Linked DNA regions of Canis lupus familiaris. The protein of the gene in region 2 purifies or fractionates together with the protein of the main gene of each other region. This does not show direct contact. Links are inferred from orthologs where the notes say so. Each region holds a gene or a part of one and is shown on either strand. Other genes may lie near its edges.

Region 1 (3,645 bases), on a different chromosome or scaffold from region 2:
TAAAGCACCATTTACTGGGCTCAAGACCACCTTTTGGGTACCTGCAGTGCCTACTGGTGATAGAAAAGTGAGCAAACTGGGATCCCTGGGTGGCGCAGCGGTTTGGCGCCTGCCTTTGGCCCAGGGCGCGATCCTGGAGACCCAGGATCGAATCCCACGTCTGGCTCCTGGTGCATGGAGCCTGCTTCTCCCTCTGCCTATGTCTCTGCCTCTCTCTATCATAAATAAATAAAAATTAAAAAAAAAAAGAAAGAAAAGTGAGCAAACTAAAAAAAAAAGAAAAAAAAAAAAAAAAGAAACAAAAGTGAGCAAACTGAGTATACCCCAGCACAGTCATGAGGCATTTGAGTGAACAGTTACCATGACCCGTAGTGACCACTATGATGAAAGGGTAGATCACATGTGTTGAGGGAATACAAGAGGAAGTACCAAACTCAACCTAAAGCAACCCAGGAGAACTTCATGGAAGAGGCAACAGTTAAGTCCCCCTGAAGGTTTAACTGAAGCAGAGTTTGCCAGGCAAGGAGACAGGGCTGACCCTTCCAGGCAGAGCCCAGCACATGTCCTGGTTCAGAGGCTGTGAGTAGTCAATGTCATCAGGGGCTGAAGGTGTCAGAGAAGGTGATTGGGTACACCTGGTGGCCCAGATCAGGGAGCCTGGCCCACGCTGTGGATTACAGGATTGAGGACGCAGAGGGTTTTCAACATGGATGATGAGATTGGACTTGGTTTTCAGAGACCTGCTGTGGCAGCAGAGTGGGCTGGAGTGTGGAGAAGTCGACAGGCATGGGGGGGGCACCACCCAGGTGCCACAGGTGTAGTGCCCCAGGGTCAAGGGACTAAGACTGAGGTCAGGCAGGCTGATCTCAGGGCAGCTAAGAAGCAGACCAAGCAGAACTTCATATCCACCTGGACTGGACTTGGGGGTTGGAGAGAGGGGCTCCCAGGAACAACTTCTTGGATTCTGACATGAGTGACATGGGTCCTGCTGGATGAGAAGGTTCTAGAAGTTTAAGAAAAGAGAGGAAGGGAAGAGGGCCATACCTGGAGGGGGAGGTGAGGCCCAAAAGCTCACATGTGGGGTTTTTAAAATAATCTGGTTTTATAACTTTCCAGTCCCAAACTGCCTTCCTATACGGAAGTCAACATAGACATCCTAGCTGTCACCCCACCCACTGTGCTCCCCAGGACTACCCTTGGGATTCCAACCTACTCTCTGGTAGAACACCCTGGGGATAGGAGTCTTCTGAGTGACCAGGGGCTGGCCTTCCATGGCGCATCTGAGCCCCTTTGATATTCTCTGCTCCCCTCCTCCCCTCCTGCTCCGTAGGCACCCAGCATGGGCACCCTCATGGGGGTGTACCTGCCCTGCCTGCAAAACATCTTCGGAGTTATCCTGTTCCTGAGGCTGACCTGGATGGTAGGCACAGCCGGTGTGTTGCAGGCCCTCCTCATTGTTCTCATCTGCTGCTGCTGTGTGAGTATCCTCGCTGGGGTGGGGGCCACAGCCACCCCACAGAGCCCGCCCAGCTGAGCTGCTCACCTAGGCCTCCTTCCCACAGACTCTGCTGACAGCCATCTCCATGAGCGCCATCGCCACCAACGGTGTGGTTCCAGGTGGGTAAGCGCCACCCCAGGCCTGATGGGAGGAAGGGGTCCAGAATCCACCTTGATGTGCCTGGGAACCCTCATTGCCAAGCCATGCCCTCCTTCCCTCCCCAAGTAGTTCTCTAGTGAGGTCTTAATCACTGACTCTGTGATGGTACCAACACTTAGGAGCATCCTTGCTTGACAGAATTTGAGATTACTGTTATGTTTTGTGTTTCGTTTGTTTAGTATAAAAGTAATATTTGTAAAAAGGATGCTGGGGCTGACAAAGAAGATACTGGGACACACGGGGTGGCCCAAACTAAGGAATCTAGATGCTACGGATTACAGGATAGACAATGTAGAGGGCTTTCATTTTCAGCAGGGATGATGGGATTGGACTTAGTTCTCAGAGACCCTGTTTATGTATTTATTCAACCATTTTTTATACTGATGTAGATTTCCGGGTATTTTATTCTTTGGATCATAATCCAGTGCTATCATTATTTATTTTGTTGCTCAAACTATTCCACTTTGGCTGTTTAGCTATTCAGTTTGGCTTCTGTGTCTGGATTTTTTTTTTAAATAACAGCTTTAGTAGTATTAGTATAAAAGTAAGAAGGGGAAAAGATTATGATTACCATAAGAAGGTTTGAAAGTGAAGAAAAATATAGAAAGGAAAATTGGAAGTACCCATAATCACACCTTCTTGAGTTAAAAACAGTATTTGGTTAAACTGGATCAATAAGATATTACCTAATTTATGTGATTATTCTGCTCTTGGATTCTGTTTCTTCACTGTTACAACGTTGTCATGAACAGTTTTGCACACAGATCTCTATGCACTGCCCTTGGCAACTCCCTTAGGAGAGGATCCTAGAGGTAGGATTACAGCATGGAAGGGATTAACTTTTTTAAAGTTTTTGGAGTCCTATCCCCAGATTTTTCACCAGAGACACTTTATTAGGAGCAGACTGAACAAACAACATGGGGTCACTCTTAACCCCTGCACCCCCGCTAGCCCTGTGGCCCAGTGTTGACTCTGTCAGTCTTGTCTATCTAGACTCCAGAGGAAGCACAGTCTCACGTCAGGAGGGTTAGCCATGGTACTCACCTGATGGTCAGCCATGTGCTGGGCCCTGGGGACAAAAAACTGGACAACACAGCCCTTGTCTTGGTCAGGAGGGGTCTGACTAACAGACACAGCCCTTGCGAGGAGTAAGGCCTGTTGAGCTAGGATACACCCAGCTAGAGGCTGTGGGGACCGGCCTGAGTGCAAGGACTTGGTGGGACAGTGGACCACTTGAGCACTGCTATGGATTAGGGTTGCCCTAGCAAAGCAGTCATTTCACTGGCTGTGCTAGGCACTGGAGTCAGATGGCACGGGGGTTCAGCCCCAGCGTGGCCACTTATTAACCGTGCAGGCTTGTGCAAACCTCCCAACCCTCTGCTCATCTGTAAATGGGAAAAACAGTCCCTGTCACCCTGGGTGGTTGTGAGGGGTTGTCATGGGGGGAACCCCCCCTTGAAGAAGAACCAGCCTTGACTTTCTCTTTTGTAGCTGGAGGCTCCTATTTCATGATTTCCCGCTCACTGGGACCAGAATTTGGAGGCGCTGTGGGCCTGTGCTTCTACCTGGGAACAACATTTGCAGCAGCCATGTATATCCTGGGTGCCATTGAGATCCTGCTGGTGAGTTAGGCTAAGCCCTGGCCAATTCTGGTCTTGTCCAAATAGTCCCTTCCCCAAAGGCCAGGGCTGCTCATGCTCCCCTCACCTCTGGCCAGGGTCTAGGGCTTATTATGCAGAAGGCCTTCTCAAGGGAGAAAGGTCTTTGCTCACGCTAGTCTCCCCTTCAACTCCTTGCCAGTTTGGGCCAGGCAGGGAAGCAGCCTGGCTGCCTTCACCTCGACCCTGAGTGTTCCATCCACCTGGGCACCATTTCAGCCATAGCAAGTGGTCTGTGACCTGTTGAAAAGTTAAAACTTCATGATCTTGATCATGCAGAGCCTACCGCCTGGGCTTGTGTAGGCTCTGGCCAAGTCTGTATCCCCCAGG
Region 2 (3,645 bases):
CTGTAGGAGGGTTAGTTCGATAAAAACTACTCAGCCATTATTGGAAACCAATCATAGGAATATATTTTGGGGCAAAGCTGATGGTTCAGCCACTCCCAGGAACAATGCCTGTGCTTTGGCAAAAATGTGTACAGTTATGGGAAGGTCTGCTGTAGCTCAGTGGCCTGGCTTGTTGGAGACAGAGTAGTCAGTTAAGAAACCAGATATTTCTCTGATGTGCAAGAAGCATGAAAGTAGGACTAAAGGTGGGAGACAGCTGGAAAGGGAGGAGGTAGAGAGGAGGTTGGCCCCTTCCAGACTTAGTTCTTCAATACCGATGATGTGGTCAGGCTTTTGCGGGGCGGGGAGGGGGGCAATGGAGATAAAATATGTGGGTGTCCAGTAATGGCAGTTATGATTGCAGAGGCCACTGAGTTGAGCTTTGCCAAGGCTTGATCCAGATGGCACAATTCTTGTCATGTCATCTGGTGACTTCTCAGTCCTCCATGGAAGCAGAAGTGGCTTGTGCCCACATGAGATGCATTGGGGTTGTTATTGTTACACTATCATCAGTAATATCAGCATTGCCATCTGTGCTGCTTACCTTTGAGGGGTATGTTTCTCCAAGGTTCTTTGCTCTATTAGTTAGACTATTGTTAATCTGTGTTAAAAGAAACCCAAAATAACAGTAGCTTAAGCAAAATTGAAATTCCATTCTCTCTCGCACAATAGTCTGGATGTAAGCAGTCTAGGACACTGAGGTGGCTCCCCTAGGTCAGGGACTCAGGCTTCCTCCATCTGGTTGCTCTGTCATCACTACTATATCACCTTCATCTGGATGGGCCAGCATGACTCACCACTACCTGTCTTCATTCCAAGCTGCAGGAAAGGGAAAGAGGGCAGCTGTGAGCATGTCACCTGCCCCCCATCATCCCAGAAGATGCATACATCACCTTTACATCCCACTGACCAGAATTTAGCCATCTCCCTGCAAAGGAAGCTGGGAAATACCATCTTTATGGGGGTAGCCATTGATCCATTTACATATCTAGAATCCTATTACTGTCGAAAGGGAGACTGCATATGGGAGGATAGCCAGCAGTCCCTGCCACCAATCCTGAGGTCACACACCTGGTTTTCAGCTCAGGGGTCACTTTACAGAGGCGCTTGGCACTCCTGGGGCACTGATGAAGGGAGAGATTTCCACGTGGTCTGCACAATTCTCCTTAAGGGTATCTGGAAACAAGGACTGTCACACTTCATTGATGAGTGAACATTGTGTGACTTAAGGAACAAGGCTGGTTCCACAAGCCACCTGTCAATTCCAGACTTGTTCCCCAGTGACTACACCATGTAGGAAAGATGTGCACGCTGGGCTACAAAGAGCCCAAGTGATACCGAACTTGTAGTGTTGACCCTTCCAGCTCTGCCTCTGACTCATGAAGTCACCCCAGACGTGCCCTCTAACTTCCCTGATCTTTCATCTCCAATGTAAGGGCTTGGATGGAGGTTATGTCTAAGGTGTATGTTTTAACACCCGTGTTCTAGGATTGTAAGATTCCTCGACACTCCAGGACTCTGCATTAGGGCAGACTTCCAGGGGGGATACAGTTTAACTCCTTTGTGGAATGATTTGGACGTCTGAATGTACATGAACATGCTTGCAGACAGCCTGGGACCTGCAAACATGGGTTTTTCTATCTCCTTGTGCTTCCCTCCATCGTGGTTTTTGCAATCAGAAGTAACTGCAGTTTCCCATACAACTAAGGTTACTTTTTAATCTTATGTTTTTGTTTTAAAATATTCTATTTCTGCTTCTAGAACTATTACACATTAATTGAAGAAAATGGAGAAAATAGAGGAAATTATAAGGAAGGAAGCAAAAAGAACTGCCCATACTGTCGTCATTCACACTGGTGTTTAGTGTGTTCCTTTCATTTTAGTATCCAAGAAAATATGAAAAATACTTCTCCCTACTTAAGTGCATCCTGTTGGGATTATGCTACACATGATATTTACAACCTGCTCTTTTCTGCCTGATGACCGATTCCTCAGGTCCTTAAATATTTTTTGAGAACATGATTTTAAATGGCTGCTAAGGATTCTAACCACATGGGTGTACCACGCTGTACTTTATCATTTATCAGTGCCCTGGACATCCAGGCTATGTCATCAGGCATTATTATTAACTGCATAGCAGTGACATCTCCATATCACACTGATAGTGTCTTAGTTCCTATCCTAGATGCTGTGGGGCAGGTGAGCCTAGAGAGGTTGGGTGGCCTGTCCAAGGCCACACAGTGAGTGGTGGGTCCCAGCCATCTGGCCACAAGGCTGACTATATCCTGCCCAGTCACCTCTCCCCACTGCCAGAAAAGAGAGGGCACAGGGGTGTGCTGGGGACAGTTGGCTCCTAATATGTTGGTTTGGAAGAAAAGAGTCAGTGTGGTTTCCCAGGGAGATGCTGCTCTGGATGGTTTGTTGTGTCCCTGAGGAAACCCAGCTGCTCTCTTCTGCCCACACAGCAGCAAGCCTTGCTCCTGCTCCCCACTCCACCCCTGCCTGCTGGGGGCAGTGGTGGACCAAGCCTGGGGGCCGGAGTTCCAGGAGCCCAGAGGGGAGGCTGTGAGAGAAAGGAGGCAGGTGAGGTCAAGCAGGCTTGGGCCAGGAGACCACCCAGCTTCTGCTCCTCGAGGCTCCCACCTGAGGAAGGCAGGGGATACACCTATCAGGGTGGGGAAGTCTCCTCGCCTGGTTCTTTTGTCCCCTTCACAGAGCAGTTTTGTCACTCCCGAAAACCTGTCCTCATCCTTACTTAGCCCCAACCCACTTCCTCTGAGAGGCACAACTGGCTTCACTATTGGCAGGGGGAGGCAGGGACAGCAGGGCAGGACTTGCCTTAGGCTCGGCATGGGTGTCTCTTCTTTTGCTGGCTATCACTGCCTGCCTGAGGCATTTCAATTTTAACCTTTCCCTGTTTTTCTCTAATAGGCAACCATTGGGATTGACTTCTTGTCAAAAACCATGTACTTGGAAGATCGTACGGTGAGTACCTGACTTTAGAACTAGAAGGACAGGGAGGGCTCCTTTGGACTTATCAGCTGGGGCCATTAGCTGGGCAGCACTGAGAGAGCCCATGTCTACTGCAGAGCTGGCAGGGCCGGCATCCCAGAGCCAGGGCCTTCCTCCAGCCCCCAGTGAGGATCACACTGACCTCCCTGCCCTCCGTGTGACAGGTACGGCTGCAGCTCTGGGACACAGCCGGCCAGGAGAGGTTCCGCAGCCTGATTCCCAGCTACATCCGGGACTCTACAGTGGCTGTGGTGGTGTACGACATCACAAGTGAGTGTGGGTCCAGGGTGCCAGAGGGAGGGTGGCTCATAGAGGCTCTGGGGCCTGTGTGCATGCTCATGTGTGCACACGTGTATGCTGTGTATGCTTGTCTTCTGACTGCAAGAAGATGGGTCCTTGGTGGTGGGGGGTGAGTTGCCTTTGAATACCAGCATGTTTTCCACCTTCCCCCACCATCCTGTGACAGGCATGGGTATACAGGATTGAGCTGGGCCTGCTCAGAGCAGGGGGCTGTGTGTAGAGGTAAGCGGAGGTGCCCATGAGGCTGGCCCTGCTCCTATCCCTCTGTGTCTTCATTGGCCCTGATGGCCAGAG

Evidence for each region.
Region 1: the proteins of RAB6B (region 2) and SLC12A4 purify together in Homo sapiens (co-immunoprecipitation; 3 studies listed by BioGRID and IntAct, with this or other methods). This does not show direct contact. The link is inferred for Canis lupus familiaris from reciprocal best matches to the Homo sapiens genes RAB6B and SLC12A4.

What each region holds. Positions count from the first base shown.
Region 1 is NC_049226.1:82,129,246-82,132,890, forward strand, and holds part of SLC12A4 (solute carrier family 12 member 4), read left to right. Parts: intron 1-1,330; coding exon 1,331-1,477; intron 1,478-1,562; coding exon 1,563-1,617; intron 1,618-3,148; coding exon 3,149-3,279; intron 3,280-3,645. UniProt on the Homo sapiens protein: Mediates electroneutral potassium-chloride cotransport when activated by cell swelling. May contribute to cell volume homeostasis in single cells. May be involved in the regulation of basolateral Cl(-) exit in NaCl absorbing epithelia.
Region 2 is NC_049244.1:31,246,085-31,249,729, reverse strand, and holds part of RAB6B (ras-related protein Rab-6B), read left to right. Parts: intron 1-2,970; coding exon 2,971-3,024; intron 3,025-3,215; coding exon 3,216-3,321; intron 3,322-3,645. UniProt on the Homo sapiens protein: The small GTPases Rab are key regulators of intracellular membrane trafficking, from the formation of transport vesicles to their fusion with membranes. Rabs cycle between active GTP-bound and inactive GDP-bound states.